7 separate regions of the Mus musculus genome follow, and all the other regions are reported to be linked to region 5. Evidence: microRNA targets listed by miRTarBase, many of them from high-throughput screens and not tested one by one. Region 5 holds a microRNA gene; each other region holds the end of a gene's coding sequence. Distances are between the middles of the regions.

Region 1 (3,274 bases), not on the chromosome of region 5:
GGCTTCAAGATTTCCAAGTCTCCAAACCCTGCAGGGCCTCTCAGTGGTTAGCCAGCCTCTACTTTAGTCCTGCCTCGACTGAACTTTCTGTCTCCCTTCCCCTTAATAGCAGTCACTGTTGGAGAAACAGAGAGTCCTAACTCAGCAGCACGAGGATGCCAAGGAGCTTAAAGAGAACCTGGACCGCCGTGAGCGCATTGTGTTCGACATCCTGGCTACCTACCTCAGCGAGGAGAACCTGGCTGACTATGAGCACTTCGTGAAGATGAAGTCAGCTCTCATCATTGAGCAGCGAGAGCTGGAAGATAAAATCCACCTGGGTGAAGAGCAGCTCAAGTGTTTGTTTGACAGCCTACAGCCTGAGAGAAGCAAATGAGAGGCACATTCCTACAGAAGGTGGACACCAAGCCCTGGAGATTAATGCCTGAGACTATAAGAGTGAACCCAAGCCTATTTGCCCATCTCTGGAGAGACATACTCTGGAGCCACGAGGCTAGTAAAAAAGCAATAATGTCCTGCTAGTATGTGATGATTTATTTATGATTTTCATTTCTGTTGGTTTGCTGAACATAGTTTCATATCACATGTGATTTCACAGAATGCCAGGCTTTGCTAAACAACAAGGGTTCTCTAGCCCTCCTTTGCAGCAGTGGCACCAATGTTCCTCCCTCGTGTAGATGCCAAATACAGTCCTACAGTGCATGAGAGGAAAGACCCTTGTGATTTAGCCAGACACGGGCTGCTGTGTGTTCTGTCCTTGTTCATTTAACAATGTGAGCATTCCTCATTCTGTCATGGTGACATTCTCTGACTCAGTAAAAATCAGTGATGATATTTATTCATGTGTGGAAAACATGAACAGTTTCCTAGTAGTTAAAGACTAACTATAAAATGAACAATCTACATATTGGATCCATTCATTCCAAGATTAAAATTATCACATAACTTGTGTGCATGTTTTGAAATACCCTAAACAGATATCTAGTATCCTTCTTGTCACATCTTAAATACTTTCTAGCCAAGTGATTTTAATTGGATAAAAGTGTGTCTACTAATAATGTTATTGCTTGCTTTTTATTTCCTGAGACCAATGGAATATTTTGAAGTTTCCTTCCCTGGAACACTAATTTGTGTATATGATCTTTAATGATAATCAGTGGTTTATCTCTTTTTATGTCTGTTACCATGGGCCACATGCCACATGCCACATACCTTAAGACTTAAGACTCCATCTAGTGGTCAGAGGTCCTGTGGAGTGACTAGTGCTTACATTTGAAACAGAGTTTTGTCCTTAACAGTTCAAATGGCAAGATGACAAATAGAGTGTTATTCATGAAAGCTACACTGTCATTCTGTTGGTTTCCAGTTGACAGGACAGATTGGGAAAAGACATTTTTAAATCATGTGTCTGACTTGTTGCTCATTTTGTTTTTGTTATTATTTGTTTGTTTTAGAAGAGTCTAACCCAGATTGGCTTCAAACTCCCTATGTAGTCCAATGACCTTGAACTCCTGATCCTCCTGCCTCCACATCCTGAGTTCTGGGTTTAGCAGCATATCCCACTTCATGACTTCATACATCTATCTGATAAAGGATTTGTATAAAGAACTTCCAACATCCAATAGTAGGAATTGTTTGAAAAAAAAAAAGTGGGCAAAAGACTTGACTAGACCCTTCACCAAAGAGGATATATGTATGGCAGATAAACACATGGGAAATGTTCAGCTACCAATGGCGTGTATAACTTGCTTATGTTAAATGTGTGTAGATTTGGTGTTGTTCAAAAGGTGTTTCTGTAACTAAGTGCATGGTAAGTGATGAGCAAGTCTCTTGGTGACTTGGTATTTAGGCATCACTAGTCTTTGTTCTACCAAGGGATTATTTAATTCGTATGTTCCCCTGAGACTGCAGCATATACGAAGATTTCCCTCTCTTAGCAGTAGCCACACCTTTTCCAAAATACACATGCACATTTACATCCATGTGTATGTGCACGTGTTCACACTCCCACACACAGTTGTCTTAAAGGACCAGAATCCATGCTTCTTGAGCCAGAGGAACAGACGTTGACAGCAGAAGCTCTGGTGAAGATGATACAGTGTCCTCCATACAGCTGAGTCAAGATTGGCGAGATTTTATATGCAGACCATGGATGACATGGTTGACATCCTATCACTGTCAGTCAGAAGAAAATCTTTGCAAAAGTGTTGATTCCTGTTAAATGAAACTATTCTACCTTTTGAAGTTCCTGATCTGCCACTGCAGCCTCTTTCTCCTTCCACTTGGTCATCCTTTGCTGTGAATGTGGGTCATGTCAGAAAACACGATATTGGCTCTCCACAAACTATCCAAGGTGTTGCAGACTATTTTGTTTTTAATTTACACCAAGCTATTTACCTGTGGTTCTTTAATCCCAAATACAGTGTTGTGAACATTTTAATGATATGTGTGTAACATGTGAGTAATGGAATTTTGTTTGTCTGTAACCTGCTTTTTCATGTTGCTTCAAGCTTGTCTGTTATGGGAAACAATATGTAGTGCTCTAGCATGCTTGTAATGAAACACATAACAATTATGACCTTCTTATCCATCCCCTGCTTGCCTGTTCCATGTCTGATTAGCAGGGACCCAAGAATTCCAGAGAGTCCATGTACATATGTCTATGACTTGTGATATTACTGCATAAGAAACAATCTGGTGCTAATGGTTGGTCCTTGGCATGCATAGGCATGGGCATGGGCACAGCTATGGAACTCTCTGTAAATATACTGACCTTGCTTGTGGTCAGCTTTTGTGGCTTTACCCTGAACTCTGCCCTGGCAAATATGCACATTCATGCTTGATGCTTACCACTTATCAACAGATCCTCTTGCTTGACTTTAACAAAATAAATAGTGTCTCTTCAGATGAAAGTAGAATGTCTTTATTTCCTACTGTATAGCTTTGTAAAAAGAATAAAAATACCAGTGCTGGGCATGTAGCCCATGGGGAAGGGTTTGAACATGGTGTTCTGACTTCAAATAGTAGCATTTCTCCTCCAGAAAATAGCCTAAGCCAGGCACTGTGGGGAACACCTGCAATCCTGGTCCTTAGAGTGGTGCACAGCTGGACCCACAGCACAGTTTTTCCTTCTATATACGGGTGCCAAACACATCCTTAAAGGGGCATAGTAGATAAAATTCTTGTGATTTAGCTTGATTCAGGCTGCTATGTATTTTGTCCTTTCTAAGTCAACAGTGTGACTTCTTATCACACATGTCATAATTGTGTGACC
Region 2 (3,274 bases), not on the chromosome of region 5:
GGCAGGCCCATGTGATACACAAAGGGATTTTTATAGCTCTAGCTGGGTTCCATCTCTATCTTCCCCCTCCCTGTTTGTATATACATATATATGTATAAAATATAGATTACATAATATATATGCAAATATTTCAAAACATTTTTTTAATCTAAAATCTGAAACACCGCTGGTCTCAGGCATTTAGGAAAAAGGAAACATAACTTTAACACCTGTACTGCACAGGTCCCATATTCAAGCTTCCTTAGAATTAAGCTGGTAAAGGAAAATAAATTTCAGATTGTAATTACATTTAAGCTGCTAAGTGTAGCTTACTCATTCTAGAATGCATTGACGTAACACCTCTCCCAGGTGACAGGAAAAGGCATTTGTAAGGACATGGTGTAAGTGGTTCAAAATGGTAAACCATTGGACAATAAGACAGCAAATTGTAAAATCACAGCAGCAACCTCCAACAAGAAACACACCCTTCCTTACCTACCTAAACCCGACATTGTTTATACATCAGTCAAATTTAATTTTACTTAAAAAAAAAAAAAGGAAAAGGAAACCAGACACGGAATACACATGATTCTCAGAGGTTGGGCTGCATAAATAACAACAGCTGTTCTAGGATGGTGTCAAGATTATAGCAAATGCAACCAATGCCCTGCCCTGGAGCTGGGGATGCAGCTCTGTGCTAGAGCCCTGGTCTCAATATCAAGCCCTGCAAAAACCAAAACTAAATCAATCAACAAAAAAACCTATCCCTCAAGATGTGAGGAACTAATAAAACAGCCTTTTAGGAGACCAAGTCCATCAATAAAAAAAAACCACATCTCTGGCATGTCTTATTTTTTGATTCAAGTTTTCATTGATACTCCCTCTTTATACAAAATTTGTATTTAATATGATAAACTCGGGTGTGAGTATCCAGACACAAGGTGTCATGGAGGACTGAGTTCTCAATGTTACGCAAAGACAGAACGGGTGGTGTGCAGAGGCAAGGCTGAGGACTTGTGGGGCAGGGTGAGGGGAGCTGAAACAGGCTTCTGTCTAGAAGGACAAAGTAGAGGGTGGAACAGTCCTGATCACTCTGTCAGGCAGCCCCTATCTACACTAAAGTGCTTCCAATGCAGGACTTGAAGCTTTCCCCAGAAAATTCAAGAGAACAGAAATCAGAAACTGCCCGATTGACTGGCTCTGAGAGGTTTCTTTTTCCTGACAGGTCAGACAGTAAATACTTTATGCTTTGTGGTAATGGTGGTTTTTTGTTTTTGGGGTTTTTTTTTTAACCTCTAAAATGCAAAACAATTCTTAGTATACTAGCTGCACAAAGGCAAGTAATCAAGCAAACACCAGCCTATGTCAAGCCAGAGAACAGCAGAGAGCAGTTCTCAGATGTTAGCCCTCCAATACAACCCCGCTCCCTGTTCTAAAGTACACATCAAACAGGAAATCAGAGGCTAGAAGGGTCAAAGATGGCTAACCTTCTAAGTGGCAGCTGGTGTCACTGAGGGAAAGTGACTTGCTTCCACCACAGAAGCAAATGCACTTCCCTGTGCCCTTCCACTTCTGACTCTGAACCGCCTCCTCAAATGCCCACGAGTTGGTTTTACCGGCTTCTTCACACTTTAATCATGTGCAAGTTCACACTAGATGGCAGGTGTGCTGTGCTCGAGCCTATAATCACAGCATCTGAGAGGCAGCAGCAGAGGGAAGAGAGTGGGGAGGAGGCGGGCAGAAGGGAAAACCTGTCTCAAACTCAGCCCCACCAAAACCAAAGAAACTTGTGCTACAGTGAGGACCATGAAGAACTGCTGATTTTATGTGACTCGCTCCTTTCCAGGGCATTACTGACAGTGATTTTACTGACAACCACTGAAATGTTTCAGATTTCCAGCTCGAATCCTGGCTTCCTTGTAAAAACAACTCCCTCCTGTGGCTCTACAAATGCTGTGGTGACACAAACCAGGGAGCGAGCAGACAAGGCACAAAAGAAAGTCCAGAGAAACTGCAGGAAGCTTAACTAAGTCTCATTAGGAGCTACGGAGCCTCCTTTCCAAGGCCATGGGTTCACATTACTACTGGGCCAGCACAGGGCTTTGGGGCTCTTCTGAGGCTGCTAGGGACTGGGGACCGTGTGGGACACTGGAGAACAGAGCACACCTAGTCTGTACTCCGGCCAACTCCTGTAACACAACACACAACACCCTACCCTGCTAGAAAGGCTCAACTGTGCCTTTCTGCCATTTTTCCTGTTACTACCCACTGTTCCTATGCCACTTCTTGGAGTAATTACATGTAAGTAAAGATCTCTCTCTCTCTCTCTCTCTCTCTCCCTCTCCCTCTTCCACCATTCCCTCCACTCCTCCTCGCCCCTTCTCTAAGTGTTAAAAGTAGAGCTAATTCTTTGTACTGGGGATTCTAGGAGTGTCCCACAAGCATATGTTTATTTCAAGTTTTTCTTTAGACCCAAACAGATACAGTTAGACTTAAAACAAGTCTCCCCCTCGATTTAAACTGCCGAGAAGACATTCCCTACTCTGAACCACAGAGTTCATGAGTGTCACCTTCTGAAACCCGTGGGACTTGTAACACCATACAGCAGATACACTTACAAAACATTACCGAATGTTACAGGATCAGGTATCATCTGGCGTAATAGATGGCGTTACGCACCAACGCCTGCAGTATCACAAACTCCACTAAATCTAGACGTGCATTCGTGTCTTCTTCCCTATATCTGTCCTCACTTACCAGGACTGAAAAACAAGCATGCTCTCTTTCACTGAAAAACATGAGAGGTAAAAAACAAACAAAACGTAACATTTCCTGACCAGTCCCTAGGGTTTCCTTCTATGCTGCTGTATTTAAAAGCTGCTCTTCTTGAAGTTTACATTTAAACTCCTTCCTGACTCCTTCGAGCAATGCAGGCTTAAAGATGACGTCCAGTGCGGTCATTGCCAGAGCCTTGGCTGTACGCAGCGTGTACAGCTGAGCCGCTTGTGATCCTGGGAGGTGAAGAAAACACATTGAAAACCTCTCTCTAGATCACAGTACATTTATTAGTTCCTCTGGTTACCTCTCAGTATCTAAACTGCCTCTCCACCCTCTGAGCACAACACCGTGTTTTCTGAAGTGATTATATGGGAGAACAGGCTAAAGAGCAGCACTGAGCAGGAAGAGGAGGCGAACCCGGGTACTCACAGCTGGCAGAGAATTCCGGGTACTCACAGCTGGCAGAGAACCCCGGGTACTCACAGCTGGCGCTCACCTGCAGCTTCTGTGTACTGCT
Region 3 (3,274 bases), not on the chromosome of region 5:
CACACACACACACACACACACACTCAAGACACTAAGATAATCATCCCTAAAAGTTGGCCATCACAAACTTAAAACAGTCTACTTCTCTTTTACGCAATGTGTGTGAGGATTTAAGAAAAATGTCAGAATTTGATCCAGTAAAATAAACAAGATTCAAGCTGTAAGACACAATTATAAACCTACTGAAAAACAACAGTGCCACCTGCTGACAGAGAAATGAAAGTAGAGGCATGAAAGAGCCATATGCATCAGTACCGGGAAATGTACAGTGCTCAGACTAGACAGAACACTACTGTAGAAAATGGAATTGTTCAGAGTGAGTTAGTGGTAGCTATAACCACCCTTTTCTCCCTAACGATCATCTAGGTTAACAACATTGCCTGCTATCGTGTGACACATTAGTACTGGGTTACAAATAGGCTAACCTAAAACAAACCTGCCAAATATAAGCACATTAAATTCCAATCTTCATTTGGGGCCACACCATATATTTGTATGTAGAACTAATTAATTAGATTGCTGAAAGGGGGAGAGGGAGAGAGAGAGTCAAAAGAAACCAGCCAACTATGGGATTTGTGCTGTTTTTTTTTTTATTGTGTTTTCAATGGAGAAATACATCATCTGTTTACAAAATAGCTCTTGAAAAATACAAGGAGTACAGATACTATAAAACAAAGCAAACTCCAGTCATGAGACACTACTTACATCATGCGAAAGCAACAGTCTGATCTCCAGGTTATGGAAACTAGAAGTAAAAAGTCACTACACAGAAAAGATCCACGTCTCCAGCCTGGTGAAACTTGGATGCAGTTACATGGAACGTTTATTAAACTGAATTTTTCCCCAATGTGTAAACAAAACGACAAGACTAAATCTGTGCCTGGTGATGTCAATCTAACTCTGAAGCTACACACACAGACACCAGTACATGTCACCTGTTAGCGGACCGTCTTCTTTACTCAAATGGTGGGAGGAAGGGCAAGGTGACTGCAGAGCAAGAGGTGGAGAGTAGAACACTGTATATAAACAATGTAAGTGGTAAAGAAAGCCTTAATTAATGCATAGCTTCAGGGGAAAGACTATACTCCAACTTTGGAAATTAATTTGGAAGGACAGGGGAGAGTTTAAGTAATTGCAGTGTAACATGAAAATGCACAAACGTGTGATAGAATGCAGCGAAATGAAGGATTCAAAAACCATGCTCATACAAAGATCTGCTGCTACAGGTCTGTTTTACCCAGATTAACAAAGAGTAACTTTATCAACATCTGGCACCCGTCAGATGTCACAAGATGGACGAGAATTCTGCTACTTAATTATGAGAAATCATTGTCTTTAAAGAAGATTTCTAATTTTTGATAGAACAAAAAAAAAAATTCAAAAGTGGAAAGCTGACTAAATGTCAAGTGCTTACTAGAAATGATTTTTAAAATGTTTTTGTATGTAAAATTCACTGACAAATTTTGATAAACTGGTTAAAAATAAAAATTAGTTTAAAAATCTGGAAGAAAATGCCTTTTGCCCACTTTTAAAAATGAAAATCAATTTGTCTAAGACAGGAACAGGAGTTGTGTGGAGTGTACAAAAGTCCTCGCAGAGATCAAAGGGCCGCCTCCGGGGATGCTTCACAGGTATGGCTTCAGTCACTCTCAAGTTCTAGCCATGGGACCAAAGTTAGTGTCTGTGTCACGCAGCCACAGGGTCAAGGTTACATGTCATGGCTTAGGAAAATACTGGCATTCTGGTTTCTGTGAAATAAGCCTTACCTTGTGCATACAAGCAAAGGGGAAAAAAGAAAGGCAAAAAATAAAATAAAAGGGGGTGGGGGAGCACTGTCTTTCTGAAGACTAACAGACTGAAGGCAAAAGAACAGAGCTTGCGAAAGCTCAAAGACCACACTTGTTGGCCGAATGCTGATTTGTATGCACTATAAAACAACTCTATAAATAAAAGGAATATATACTGCTTAATCATAACCTCATCAAAACCAAGTATCGCCTAATTCTTCTTTCAGTGTCCAAAGTATACCTTAGCATTGACAATTCACCCTAAGGGCTACAGCTGCCCGTAAGGACTGGGCTGAGCTCGGTGTCCTCCTGCCCTTTCTGGGACAGAATGGTACACCAATGCACAACGTATCCAATTTAAAGACTAATTGTAAAGAAAATTCTTTGGGGAAAAAAAATTGAAAATCCATTAAGCTGAAAATCTAAAATTAGTTCTACTTTCTAATTAAAAAAAAATACATAAAAGTGCATCATCAGAATGAGGAGTTCTTCTGCCAGCTTGTATTGCAGTTTTCCAAACAATGCAGCACACAGAGGCGCGATCCGGATGTCAGTTATGGATACAAACATAGCTCGAGGGTTTTGTTTTGTTTCCTTCTTAAAGGCAGTAATTTTTCTGAGTAGTTAATGCAGCTGTCGCTAACACAGTAATAATAGCACTCCTGGCTTCGCATACTAACCTGGACTTCTGATCAAGTGCTCATGAGCCCAAGGCAGGGAGGCCACCAAACAGCTAAACCCACTGTCAGTCAGGTCTAGTCTTGTCCCTCCAATCTCCTCTTTTCCTTTCTTTCTTTCTTTCCTTTGTTTAAGCATCTGGAGACAACGGGTTGAGTTGGCAGATACTGTTTATGGACCCTGAGGTGGTTTTACCGATTCAGTCTCAGTTTTATTGAATTCTTGATAACAGGAATAGGATTTGCAGGGAGAGCAGGGATATCAGAAAGGTCTGTACTGGATGTTTTCTGAGAATGAAAGCAAACAACACACCACAGTTTAAAGCACTGTGACTTAAAATGGGATGCGTGTCCCACCGCCTTACTCCTAGGAAAGGATGCAGCTTTATTATGAGGCAAATTTAAAAAGAAAAATCAATTTTAAATGGAAAATATGCAGCGCAAATAAACATAACTAGACTTGCAGACATTTTCAAATAATAACATTTTCAGGATTTACCAAAAATTATTTTGTAACTTCAAATAGAAATCTTAAAAATATATTTCACAAAATAAAGAACAAGAGAGAGAAAGATATTATTAATAAAATAACACTTAATTACTGTTGGGCCCAGTTTACCATACTAACTGCTCTAACAAGAAGTGGTGTCGGAGTGCCCTCGTGTGGAGGAAGCACTTACATTCACCTGAGACACACAGCTAGCATTTAGCAGTTATTTTCTGACACTCTAAATTATAAAATTAACTATATAACTGAACAATAATTTAACTCAACTTTTAGGGAATTAAAAAAAATTGTATCACAAATTT
Region 4 (3,239 bases), not on the chromosome of region 5:
AAAGAGGAGAGCCCCCTTCCCACCCCACCCCCTGCCGTGGTAAAGAGGAGAGCCCCCTGGCTCTTCTGCGGCTCTTCCTCTGTTGGAGGCAGTCTAGCAAAGCAGGCTCCAGCAGCTCCATGTGGAGTTGGCTTGGCAAGGATTGTGTCTCTTGGGAGGGAAGCTCCTGTCTGTCTCCCCAGCTCTGGGAGCTTAGAGCTCAGTGTGGAAACTGTCCCACCTGGTGTGGCCACCCCTGCTGAGGGCTGAAGGGAGTTGTTGTGGAAGGTGTGTCTCCGCTCAGGACAGGGCTGTGTGTGTGTGTGTGTGTGTGTGTGTGTGTATGTGTGTACACGTACACGTACACGTACACATACACATAGAGAAGCATGGCTCCAGCTCCCAGCCAGGCTTCAAAGAGCATTTTTTTCTGTATCCACAGCCAAGAAGAAGGAAGAGGAAGATGACGACATGAAGGAATTGGAGAACTGGGCCGGATCCATGTAACTGTTCCAGCAGAGGCTGGGCCCAGACGGACTCTGGTGGCCTGTGCATCGGGCAGGCATGTGCGTGCGCAGGGCAGGCAGGACGCGGTGCAGGCAGCCTCCATCGCTCAGCTCTCACCCAAAGCAGTAGCCGCACCACTGCTCACTCTCGCATAGCATGGTCTGTGCCCAGGGGTGGGTGGGGGGAGGGGGGCGGGGGGGAGGTGCCTGCTGTTTATAATGTTGAATTTCTGTAAAATAAACTGTATTTGCAAATCCAACACTGAGTTGCTGGGCTGCGCTAAGCCCACTGCTGCGTCCTCTGTGGAGGGTCGGCCGTTTGCAGTTGAAGCGAACTGGAAATGTAGCCCTGCAGCTGACGTGTCTCACTCTGTAAGATGTGTACGGTACTGGCAGAAAAGTCGTTTTTTAAAAGCCATAGATAGGCTTTTCCTTGTTCTTAGCTGTAATAACACATCTAGTTTTGGTTCCCTCAAGAGCTGTGTTTCTGTCTGTCACCTGTGTACTGGCCCCATGTCTACCATCCTGGCCCTTGTCACTCCTGTCCCCCCTGGTCTTTTGGAGTTTGTGACACGGATCTGAAATGGATGTGTTCTCTTGCAAGCGAATAAGATTGTTAGAGTTAATTCCAGCTATCCAGTTTTCTAACGTAGCTCTAAGGTCCTCATTGCTGTTGTGATAATTGATACATAGCTCATTGGAAACGTGTGCATACATTTATATTCAGATGAAATTATGGTTTGCACCGTCTATTAAATATCTCGATTTAATTTTCATATCGCTGTGTGTTCAGTCAATCTCTCACCTTCCCTGGGAGCTGACCCTTTCCAGGCCAACACTTGTCCAGGGTCCTCTGGGGAAACCTGAAGGACTTGCGAAGACGGATCTTCTAGAAACCGAGAGATCCTGGAGGCCACAGAGCTGTGGTCCCACTTAGCCTGGGACTGCCTGGGTCCACTGTCAGAGAGATGGTGCTTATGCAGCCCAGACTCTTCCCTCCGGTCTGCCGACAGCACCTAGGGCGGTGCCTGTGGGAGCCTCTGTCTAGTGGAAACTGGTGCCCTCGTGAGACACGGCCCAGTCAGGTGGTGTGTGTTCCTACAGCAAGGACGTGTGGTGGGCAGAGGACCAATGTACAGATGCTCACACACTCCATTTGCGTCTGCAGAATCACTGCATCTTTGGCCCAGCACTTCCACCCTGCACTTTTCTTTATCCTTCTACCCTCTTGTGAAACTGACGGATGCTTTGGGCACTCTCCTCCAGTCAAGTAGATCTCCACGTGTTCCTTCCTCCTGATGTCAAGTTCAGGGTTGAGAAGTCACCCCCACTCCCCTAGCTTCTCAATGTCCTAAGGTTAAAACCAGGCTGAGTTCACAATGGGATATTGTTATTTTCAGTGTGCCCAGATCAAGCTGCCTACTCTCCTGTCTTAGTCCGACACATGTCAACGTTTAAACATTTGATTGGGGACTTGATTACAGTTTCCATCACCATCATAGCATCCGGGAGCGTGGCAGCAGGCAGGCATGATTTTGGAGCAGTAGCTGAGAGCTCACATCTAATCTACACTTTAGAGCCAGAGTGACTGGGCCCGGCGTGGGCTTTTGAGACCTCAGAGCCTATTCCCCAGTGGGATACCTCCTCCAACATGGCTGTGTCTCCTAATCCTTCCCCAGACTTATCGTTCAAAAGTGAACTGATGGGAGCCCTTCCCGTCCCTACCCCACAGCTCCCTAGGTCTCGTGTTCTTTGAATGAAGCAGCTCCTACCCTGGCTGCCACACTCATGATTGAGACTTGATGCCTGAGTTGAAATTGCCTGGTTTGGGGGAGATTGGGTTTGGCTAATGTCACAAGCTCTACTTGCCAGGGTCTCTCTGCCAACAGGACCGGGGCTCCCAAGCATCCTTTGATGTGGGAAAACCAGAGCAGCCTTTCTTGAGTCTCTCCAGCTGCCTAGAACGTCTCTCCCCTCAGCTCTGACGGGCACAGACACCAGGGCGCTGTCTGGGCTCCCTCCAAGAAAAGGGTGTTTATTTCTACAAGTCATATACCTCGTGCCTGGGTCTGTGGGGCATAGTGCTCACCAGTGTCTAGAAGTTTTTTTTTTCTTTTTCTTTTTCTTTCTCTTTTTCTTTTTCTTTTCCTTTTTCTTTTCCTTTTTCTTTTTCTTTTTTGCTTAGGAAGTTCTCAGGCCTGAAAAGATGTTATTGTACTAGATACTCTGGGTACAAGCAACAGAAGACAGCCAACACATAGAAATGATACTTACTCTAAATTCACTCAGGTTTTTTGTTTTGGTTTGGTTTTTTTAGCACCTACTCTGTGTAGGAACTTGAGTTTACATGCAACAGAGCACCTTGAGGGGACTTGCAGGTTGGTCTCAGGACAGGAAGTCTCGATGGAAGTGTTAGGGTTCAGTGGCTCAACTGTGTTCTCAAGAATAAAGCTCTTTCTGGTGTGATGGTGCATAACTAATCCCAGCAGTAGGACCACAACAAGTTCAAGGTTAGCTTGTTGTGTGTAGTGGTGAGACTGTCTTAAATGCAGCCAGAACAGCCAAGCGTGGTATACGCCCTTAATCCCAGCACTCAGGAAGTAGAGGGAGGAGACTTGAGTTCGAGGCCAGCCTGACCTATATAGATAGTTCCAGGACAGGGCTGCTTAGAGACCCTGCTTCAAAACAAAACAAAAAATGCTTTGCCTCCTGCGCTGCCTAGGCACATGGGCCTTTCCCTTAAACTGCCGCCTC
Region 5 (3,000 bases):
TTGGAAGAGGAGTGTATTAGTAGAGTCCAGCTTTGAAAGTTTAAAGATTCCCAAAATTTACTGCTGTTCTCTCAGCTTAGTGCTTATGGTTCAAGATGTGAGACTGGAGAGATGACTCAGAGGTTTCCAGGGCATTCTTCTGCTCATGGAGAGAACCTGAGTTCAATTCCCAGCACCCACAACAGGTCTCTCACAACTGCCCGTATCCCCCCTTCCAGGGGGTCTGTGACTCCTGGTCTCCACAGGCAACTATAACTTGCATGCACAAAGCTACACACATAAACACATAATTGAAATTAACAGTGTTTTTAAAAAGGTGTGAGTTCTTGGCATCCAGTTCCTACCTACAGTTTGCTGCCATTCTTCCCCACCATGATGGAACTATAAGCCAAACAAGCCCCTCCTTGTATACGTTATGTTGGCTATGATGTTTAACCACAGCAGTAGAAAAGGAACACATAGCTGCATGATTGTTGAACTCCAAAGCCATGTCTTGGTGTTTCAGAACACAGGCATAGGGGTGATCTGGTCACATTCTTTGTATCTGTTTAATGTTTCCATTACTTCAGTCTAATTAACCCCTCTCTCCTACCAGCTACTGCTACTCTAATCCTAGTTTTATCCTGAGGGTTAAGTTTCCTCTGTTGTCATCATCCCTCCTGAATCTGCACCAACTCTCCCAAGAGTTTTTTGTTTTGTTTTTAAGGTTTATTTACTTTTTTATTGTGTGTGTGTGTGTGTGTGTGTGTGTGTGTATACCTGCATGAGTCTATGTGCACCATGTGTACAGAGCCCTCGAAGGCCAGAAGAGAGTGTCTGTTCCCTCTAGAATTGGAGTTACAGTAGTTATGAGCTGCCATATTGATGCTGGGAACCAAACCTCGTCCTCTGCAAGATCAACCAGTGCTCTTAGCCATCTCTTTAGTCCCATCCCCATTTGTAAATGTCTGAGCCATCTTGTTAGGCTCTTTGAACCCAGCCCAGCTCTAGATGTTGGGGAGAAAGAAACTTTTTTCCTAGGAGGGTTTGTAGTTTGCTTCATCACCTTCTGTAAGAGATCACTGCCTTCACTAATATCAGATGTGCTGCTGTACTTTTTTATTTGATCATTTTCAGTCTCCTTTGGCAACATTGCCCAGTCTCCTCTTTTTGCTAGGATGATAAAGCTACAGTGAGATCTATTCACTCTTGTCCTCCTAACAGTGAATATTGACAAGTGTTGAACTAATTAAATTTTTCTTTCCCAAACAGCTTCCTGTTGAGATTAGTTGACGCGCCCATTTAGTGTTCGGTTAAGGAAATTACTGGATTGGTTGCCTTGGCTACCTGTGCAGCTCTCCCCACTTCCAGCTTGAGTCTTCAAGAGGGAGCCTCAGAACTGATTTCTAAAACCAATTGTACTTGGTGTGATTATAAAGCAATGAGACTGATTGTCATATGTCGTTTGTGGGATCCGTCTCAGTTACTTTATAGCCATACCTGGTATCTTAACACCACAGATCATGCCTGTTGATCAACATTGTAAAAGCACAAACTTAAGGTTTCTAAATGGAAATTTAAACTGGTTTAGCATTCTTTTATGATTCTTTTTAACTCACTCACCAGAGGCAGATGTTAACTTAATAATGCTAGTTTTAATTTTGTTGTCTCCTTTTTGTTTATAGATTTTTTAAGCAAAAATAAACTGGTAAACTACTACTCTAATAAAGTGAATAAACCGTTTTGAATACAGTATTATGCAAATATATATTCCATTGAGCTATATTTTTTTCAAAACTTCTGTTACTGAGTTTCTGTTGTGTCTCATCTTGACTGCTAAAGGTAACAAGAAATCAAAACAAGTGTTTCTAATATTTGTTGACAGAGCCTTCAAAAGGTCAGGTCTGGGGTCTCTGCTTGCTGTTTTGAGAGGGTATTTTGTGTTTGGATGCACAATCCTCCTTCATACTCACAAAAGTGACCTTGGTGAGTAGCTGCTCACTCTGACTTAAAACAGGCCCTTGAAGCCATGTGAGAAAAGGACTTGAAAACACAACTGAACCATCCTTGTAATTAACTTATAAAAGTTGTGCCTGTGGGCAGAACTCTGAACAGCTTTTAGGAACTGAAGGTTTTAGGTATCATTATGGGTAGTAGTCCAGAAAGTTGAAACTTGGGCCTGCCTAGAGGATTTGAGTGCGCTGGGCATGGTTAAACAAGGTGGAAAACTAACATAAAACTCAAGTCTGAGGCTAGCCGAGGCAATGTGAGATGCTGGCTCCAAACTGGGTGGGAAAATTGTTGCGTTTGAGCTCCAGAAGTGCCCTGGAAGGAGCTTTACTGTAGACAGAAGACCAAAGTTAGTTTCAAAGGTTGTTGGTAAAAGATGTTGCCGTTCGGCACTTGTCACTCCATAGCCAAGTGTGTGCCCTAAGAAGTACCCTTCTTTCTGTTTCTTAGAGCAGTCCTTGCTCAGCAGTGCGTGTGAGGATGAGTAGTGCAAGGACCACCTGTTCAGACTGTAAATGACAGTGCTTCTCTGTCAGAACTTTCCAGATTGATTGCTATAGAAAGGTTTTCTACTGAAGACTTAACCTGATTTAGTCACAGGTGGCTGCTTTCACAGTGCTTCTAATGCACCGGTAAGGCAGTTTGTGCATTGTTAACACCACAGTTGCTTTATGCGTTACCTGTTTGGAGCACTGTACATGTTCTCATGCCTGTCAGTTTACACAGCTGCAGCCTCATGTCAGTTGAACTGGAATCTATAAACCTTAGTGAAAATTATGGTAATTTCTCTATGGAGCATATGTGTATATTTATTTGATGTGTCTATGAATTTCAGATGTCACTTTAGTCTGTGTATTTGTTTTACATTACAGGCACGGGAGATATTATTGCTGTCATGATAACAGAATTGAGGGGTAAGGATATTTTGAGTTATCTGGAGAAAAACATCTCTGTACAAATGACAATAGCTGTTGGAACTCGAATGCCGCCAAAGAACTTCAGCCGTGGCTC
Region 6 (3,274 bases), 48 Mb from region 5:
ACTCAGCCTTGGGACCACTCTTGGTACTGTTCCCAGTTTCTAACCAGATAATAGCATTTTTACTTGACATAGAAAAAGTAATTGGTATTTTTCCCAAATCACTGAAATTCCTTGGCCTTCCTTTTAAGTAAAAATTTGTGGCTCAGAAAACCTTTTTCCAATGAAACTTGACTTGTTTTCCAAAACAGATGAGTTTTCCCTTATGGACATTTAAAAGCCCTGGCTCCAGATGGAGTCCTTTGAAAATTGTCTATGTGGGCTGAAAAGAACTTGTATTTCTACAGTTCCTTTCTGGCTGCAAACCTGTTTCTTCTGATTCTGCCAGGGCTGACCAGTTGAAATGTCCTTTTTCCCCACTCCCCTGTCTTTCCTTCCCTAGCCGCATGAAGCTGGAGAGTGCGTCGACCTCCTCCCTGGAGGACCGCGTGAAGCGCAACATCCATTCCCTACAGCGGACGTCGGTGGCCCTGGAGAAGAACTTCATGAGGAGATGAGAACCAGTCTCTTGTACTGTTTTGCCTGAATTTTCCAGGGAGGCTACTGACTCCTTAAAATTCTCTTTATAAGAGTTCAGATGGCTTCCTGTACAGATGAGAACCCACCACTGTTCAAGTGCCCTTTGTCCACTGACTCCTGAAACACTTCACATCCGTTAAACACTGATGTGACCTGAATCGGGGCTCCTCAGGAACTTTGGCTGGATGTGGATGCACTGTGGGGTTTGACTGTGTTTTAGTGGCTGCCACTGGACGGCTTGGATGCTTGTTATCCCTCTTCCCTCCCACCTGAATGAATGGATCAGACTTCCAGAGGCCTCTCTTAAGAGCCACCCAGATGGACGGTGCTCACTGGGATAAACAAACATTGACTTTATTTAGTAGATTATGTGACAGGATAGCCAAGCATCAGGAAGAGCCAAGAATTGAAGAAGCTGGAAGAGAAAACAGAACCAAAAGCCCTAAGTGAACTGCTACCCACCCGGGCTTTACGCTGTAATGGTGTGATGTGTATATACAAATGTATAGTTCTATATTTGCTTTAAAAAAGTTAGCCTTGGGAGAACATTTTGTTGGATGACCTTGTCAGAAAAGTAACACAGTAGTTACTGGTAACAGAGGGATACTGACCTTCTTTGTCATTTGGACATGACTTTGTCCTCTACAAATGTGTTAGGCTACATTTATAGGTATGTACTGGCTTCAGGAAGGACACACCTGCCAAGGGACATACATATCCTCCTCTGTTCCTCGGCATCCTACAGTGGGCACCCAGTGGGGCAGGAATCAGGACCCATGTTGTCCGATGACTCCTGAAAGAAAATACTTGGGAAGCTTTTTGCTTTCTGGCTAATTTTTATTTGTTTGTTTGTTGAGGCAGGGTCTCTTGTAGCTCAGGCTAGCTTTGATTGGACCGGGGAGCTGACGGTGACCCTGCACTTTAGCTCCTCTGACCACACACAGTTGCTGCTCCTGCCACTGCTGCTTTGTGGTTTGTCTGTGATACAGGGCCCTTGCTGGTCCAGGGCAGCCTGATGGTGGCTCTCCTGCCTCAGCCTCCTGAGTGCTGGCTGCGGTTAGGCCATCCCCATCCTCCAGCTGCCTTTATCCTGTAATAACTAAAAATCTAAGACAAGACTCAAGGGGCCACACCCATGTCTTTACTGCCATTCCTTTCTCTATTCTTTCACCAGAAGCCCTCATTTGTTTGACCAGGGAACTTCTAGGTGCTTTTTAAACAGACGACAGATTCACCCTAGCGGTAGCTGACCTTAAACTGTAGATCTCCTGTTTTAGTCTCTGGAGCTGTGATTACAGACCATCTGGCCCTCAGAGGTGCTCTTAATTCATATATTAAGCCATTTCGTTGTTCTACCAGTTCCTAATTTCTCCTAAAATATGTTTGGATTTAAGCACTAAAATTCCAGTCACTGTAATTATTGTTGTTGTTACTTTTTGAGACAGGGTTTCTCAGTATAGATAGCCCTGGCTGTCCTGGAACTCACTCTGTAGACCAGGCTGGCCTTGAACTCAGAAATCTGCCTGCCTCTGCCTCCCAAGTGCTGGGATTAAAGGCATGCGCCACCACGACCGGCTGGCACTGTAATTCTTAAAACTCAGTTTCTCCCCAGACAATATAACATTATTCATTTAATCATCTCATCCTTCTGCCCTATGTTATAGTTAATTATGGCTTTTATTTTATTACTTGGTAATAAAGGCTACATTTATTTTTGTAACTGTGTAGAGCGATCTACCACGTGCCTGGTACTGAGTCTTGATATCCCAAGTGTTGACCTGTGATTTGTGTCGGATACAGAGACCCTTCGACCAAGTGGAATTACATAATAAACCATGGGCAGTTTATTCGAGATTTCTTGGAGCAAGAATGAAAGGATTATTACAATACGCGTCTACAGATGCTAGTGGTGTCTAAACTTGACCATCGGGATAGAGGAGGCTAGGCGGCAGGTGGGTGGGCGCGCGGCCCATTCATAAAACCTAGGATTCCCGGCCTGCTCCTCTGATTGGCCCCCGGGAAAGGGGGCGTACCTTGCGGGTGGAGCGAGCCGTCGGCCCAGGGGAGTGGGAAGATCCACGCTTGGGTGGAGCGAGGGGGCGGTCCCTGGTTTTCTAGGCAGGACTTCCTTTCCCCTTTGCCGCGTTACTCCTCTGTCCCCCGGGGTGGAGATGGTATGTTCCAGCTTCTTCTCATGCCGGCCCCTCTTCCCCTCCCGAAGCGGCGGCGCTGCCGCCATTTTAGTACTTCATGTGGAGGCAAAGTCAAAGCCCGGCCTTGAGGGTGTCCGAGTAGGGAGCCCTTCTTGCCGAGTGCCTCGAGGCTGTCCATCCCCAGTCTTCCTCGTTCCCCCGCGTGAAGCCGGCTGGGTTCCCTTCAGGCCGGGAGAGGAGGAGTGGGCGGGGCAGCTGCAAGCGCCCGGGGACGGGCGGTACCATTCCGACGGGGAGGGGAGAGCCGGGATCCAGTGGGCGGTGCCGCCCGGGGGCGGGGTGAGGATCAGGCTGGCCTGCTCCCCGGGGCGGGGCGGGGCGGGGCGGGCCGGCGCAGCGAGGGCGGGGCGTGGGGCGGACGGAACCACCGGGGCGGGGTGGGGAGGTAACGGGACGGGCGCGACCATGGCTCGGTGAGGCAGCGGGGGTGGGGATCGGTTCGGGGGAGGCCTGGGGCCGCTCGCTGGTGCGCTGTCTCCGCCGCCCCCCCTTTCGCCGCCGCCGCCGCCCCGGGCATGTCGTCCAACTGCACCAGCACCACGGCG
Region 7 (3,274 bases), not on the chromosome of region 5:
TCCCTCCTCTCCCTGAGTTCTTTCTAGTCCCAGCTGCTTGGGTGAGGGAGTGCCCCGGGGGAAAGAAATGGAGAGGAATCCCGAAAGATAGCTTTGCTGTCCTCAGACCCAAAGCCTCAGGGCTTGTGTGAGTGTCTGGTTTTCTAGGCGAGCGACCAGAACTCTGAGGGTGCTTTTGTCTTCTTCCCTCACCCCTTCTCAGGCAACTTTGTAAAGAATTTACGGATCTGCTGGCTCAGGACCGGACACCGATCGGAAACAGCAGGCCCAGCCCCATCCTGGAGCCGGGCATCCAAAGCTGTCTCACGCACTTCAGTCTCATCACGCACGGCTTCGGTGCCCCGGCCATTTGCGCTGCGCTCACGGCCCTGCAGAACTATCTCACCGAGGCGCTCAAAGGCATGGACAAGATGTTCTTGAACAACACCACTAACAGGCACACGTCTGGGGAAGGCCCAGGTAGTAAAACTGGCGACAAGGAGGAGAAACACAGGAAATGAAAAAAAAAAAATTAAAGAGAAGGAAAATGTTTTAAATACAAAAGGAAAACAGAAAAAAAATAAATTTAGCTTTAACATATTGGATTGGCTTTGGAGGAATTATATTAGGTAGAATACACATACAATCAAAATTTAAAAAGAAAGCTAAATAACGTTAAAAAAAAATAAACTGAGGCATACAACGGAGCAACAAACCGGCTCTCGGTGTCTATTTCAAGATACACGTGGAGACAACCGTCCGGATTTTCCACTTCGGTTCTTTCGAATTTAGTAATACAGATAAAAAAGGAAAACTATGAATCCCCCTTTTGGAAAATAAAACGTGAGACTAAACATGAGAACACGCTAACTTATTGGAAGAAAATTGGAGAAACGTTGGTGTCAATGCTTTTGAGAGCTGGTTGACTGAGACGCACGAACTTTTAAATCTTTAATTTAATTTTTTTTTTTTTTAAGGAAACTCTCGCACTTCGCGCCCTCCATTTCTCCTCATTCTCCTCACCGCTGCTTCCCTTTCTCCCTTCCTCACAGCGATCCCGGAAATCTGCTGGGTGATCACGAGTGTGATTAGCTCTCTGGTGTTAGCCCCTTTGGTGTCCAGACCGCGCCTTGCGTTCCTAACTCCCCTGAGCCCAACTCCCCTACCTCCCCTCCACCCCCACCCTCACCCTCACCCCGCCCCGGTGTGTTTAATTAGGGAGGCCAAGGGTGGGGGTGGGGGACAGGCGGAGGCTCTAGCTTTTGATCCAGGCTTGAGAGCCCAGGCTCCCGCGGCAGAGAGGAAACCGATAAGTTGATTCATCTTGGTTCCTTTTAGAAAATGTTACTAGTCTCCCAGACGTGACAGCACCTGTTCACAGAGAATATTACATTTGTTATACTTGTGTCATCTAGCGGTATAGTTTAAAAAGAAAGGAAAAGAAAGGAAAAAACAAAAACCAAAACATGAAAACTTTGATTAGTATGTAATTCCTTCGGAGGGGTATGTACCACTGACTCTCTTCTGTTTCCCCAAGCTTTACCCGCATGGTTTATGAGCTTCTTCAAGGAAGATTTGGGCTTCCTACACAATCTATAAGGTACTGAGAAACAACAGCAACAACCTGATCCTTTTTAAAGTTAAAGCCTGCCTGTCAGATTCGGCAGGTTTTACTTCTTTAAAGAAGCTCAAAGAGAATCATTTAGGAAGTGGCCAGTGTTGGGGGGAGCGGCTTTGGATTTCTTGCTAACACACCTCAACGCAGGAATTCCAGCAGGGGCGGGACACTGCAGAATGCATTTTAAGGGAGTCGAGTAAGGTATCTTGGCTTTGGGACCTATATTGTAATGGTATTGTCTTTACTGGAAAAATGGATTCCATTTCCTTGGGCTCTTTGGGGACTGGATGTTTTAATGGGGGAAAGAAGTAGTTTTGCTGAGTGATTGGGGAAGACAGTCTATAAACTACCATGACTCTGCTTTATGAATGAAACAGTTTTCCTTCTCAGACACACAGGTATTTTGGCATAAAATGGTACACACACACACACACACACACACACACACACACACACACACACCAGAAACACAAGGCAAAGGGAACGAGATTGTATTTCAACTTTGAATTCCTGTCTTGATTTATTGGGAATATTCCTAATGGATGAAGTTCCATGAATTTAATGTATCTCTCTTCTCTTAGTCCAACTTTTTACTGTACCCCATCTTAATATTACCACGAAGTAAAACCGGCACCTTTAGCAAGTTCAAGGAGTAGAGTATTTGATTGGTGCACACATTTAGTTTGGGTACACTTATTTTTTTTCACCTACCTAGACGGGAACTTTATAAAATCCATTAGGATATATGTTCAGATGTTTTCTGTGATTTACACAGTCCCTTCCCCCAGTAGTCTGGACTCTCAGTATTCCTATCTTTTTCAATCCACTTTGAAGCAAGGGAAGGGGTTGAAGTTTTAGGGACCCTCTGAGGGAATCGCTCAAAGGATGAAGGTTGTAAACAAAAATTGAGGTCAGGCAACATCTCTGCTCCTATCTCTAGCTGCTTCTGAGCCCCATAGGTTTCCAGGACACAGCCCTAGACGAGGCTGAAAGGAGTAGAAAGGGCAGGAAAAAATACATGTGTGAACTATAGATTCTCATCTTTCCTCAGTTTAGAAGCCCACCCCATTTGTCCAAGAACCTGGACGCTTGCATTAGTTGAATTCTGATTGCACGAAGCCAGCAGAAAACACATTGAAAAACATCGTCTCCTTTCCTTGCAGGGCAACGCGCCCCACGCGTGTGACATCGAGAGACGCGATGGATGCGCCTTGCTCTTACTGTGCAGGTCCTGGGAACATGTGGGCCACTGAAGCCCAGTGGTGTTGAGGACATAGAATCAGCAGCTGCTGAGGGCGCGAGCCGTACAGGCCCTTCTTGCTCTCGGCCTCACCCTAAGGGCTAAGGCAGCCGCGAAGGGCCGGTTCCCGAGTAGGTAAAGGGGCGGCGCCCCACTGGCTGCTGCGGGGGAGGGATGCCAGAGCTCTGTAAAGCCATTTTGCCGCAAGCGGTCACTAGGGGCTCTACTCTCAGAGACCTTGTAGCTTGGAAAAGTCCATGGAATTTGAAACTTCCATGTGTTCTTTATTGCCAGGAAGTGTGGACATTTTTTTTAATTGCCTGAAGTGTGGACATGAAATAAGAACTGTCATTCTTGGGTAGGTAGGCTCCCTTAGATGCCCTGATGTTCCTGTGAGCATCAGCGAAGGGGCAGCTAGATAGACCTGGCTTGAGGCT

What was found. Region 5 holds the annotated microRNA mmu-miR-340-5p (UUAUAAAGCAAUGAGACUGAUU, at 1,411-1,432, shown strand). A microRNA usually pairs through its seed, bases 2 to 8, with sites in the 3' UTR of a target mRNA and lowers its output. Matches are read on the target gene's strand: a 7mer-m8 pairs with bases 2 to 8, a 7mer-A1 pairs with bases 2 to 7 and ends in A, and an 8mer does both.
Region 1: miRTarBase lists Shroom2 as a target of mmu-miR-340-5p. The part of its 3' UTR that is shown has no 7-base or 8-base seed match.
Region 2: miRTarBase lists Pm20d2 as a target of mmu-miR-340-5p. The part of its 3' UTR that is shown has no 7-base or 8-base seed match.
Region 3: miRTarBase lists Papola as a target of mmu-miR-340-5p. The part of its 3' UTR that is shown has no 7-base or 8-base seed match.
Region 4: the mRNA of Chmp4b is a reported target of mmu-miR-340-5p. Seed matches in the 3' UTR shown: 7mer-A1 at 699-705.
Region 6: miRTarBase lists Cwc25 as a target of mmu-miR-340-5p. Seed matches in the 3' UTR shown: 8mer at 559-566.
Region 7: the mRNA of Tfap2b is a reported target of mmu-miR-340-5p. Seed matches in the 3' UTR shown: 8mer at 2,320-2,327.

The regions. Positions count from the first base shown.
Region 1 is chrX:152,609,630-152,612,903 of GRCm38, reverse strand. It overlaps Shroom2 (shroom family member 2), which reads left to right. Exons shown (of 10, transcript NM_001290684.1): 10 at 110-3,274. The coding sequence ends at 376. Among named protein-coding and RNA genes, the nearest start is that of Cldn34a, 48 kb to the right of the region's middle.
Region 2 is chr4:33,171,491-33,174,764 of GRCm38, forward strand. Pm20d2 (peptidase M20 domain containing 2) reads right to left here. Exons shown (of 7, transcript NM_001034867.2): 6 at 3,254-3,274; 7 at 1-2,990. The coding sequence ends at 2,836. Among named protein-coding and RNA genes, the nearest start is that of Pm20d2, 17 kb to the right of the region's middle.
Region 3 is chr12:105,836,243-105,839,516 of GRCm38, reverse strand. Papola (poly (A) polymerase alpha) reads right to left here. Exons shown (of 22, transcript NM_011112.4): 22 at 573-2,752. The coding sequence ends at 2,657. Among named protein-coding and RNA genes, the nearest start is that of Papola, 53 kb to the right of the region's middle.
Region 4 is chr2:154,693,523-154,696,761 of GRCm38, forward strand. Chmp4b (charged multivesicular body protein 4B) reads left to right here. Exons shown (of 5, transcript NM_029362.3): 5 at 422-1,261. The coding sequence ends at 486. Among named protein-coding and RNA genes, the nearest start is that of 9030607L20Rik, 19 kb to the left of the region's middle.
Region 5 is chr11:50,068,310-50,071,309 of GRCm38, forward strand. It overlaps Mir340 (microRNA 340), which reads left to right and starts at 1,393; the gene lies at 1,393-1,490. It overlaps Rnf130 (ring finger protein 130), which reads left to right. Exons shown (of 9, transcript NM_021540.4): 3 at 2,862-3,000.
Region 6 is chr11:97,744,575-97,747,848 of GRCm38, reverse strand. It overlaps Cwc25 (CWC25 spliceosome-associated protein), which reads left to right. Exons shown (of 10, transcript NM_026186.4): 10 at 380-2,379. The coding sequence ends at 494. Mir8102 (microRNA 8102) reads right to left here and starts at 2,952; the gene lies at 2,814-2,952. Pip4k2b (phosphatidylinositol-5-phosphate 4-kinase, type II, beta) reads left to right here and starts at 3,145. Exons shown (of 10, transcript NM_054051.1): 1 at 3,145-3,274. The coding sequence starts at 3,245.
Region 7 is chr1:19,233,848-19,237,121 of GRCm38, forward strand. It overlaps Tfap2b (transcription factor AP-2 beta), which reads left to right. Exons shown (of 7, transcript NM_009334.3): 7 at 203-3,274. The coding sequence ends at 500. Among named protein-coding and RNA genes, the nearest start is that of Tfap2b, 27 kb to the left of the region's middle.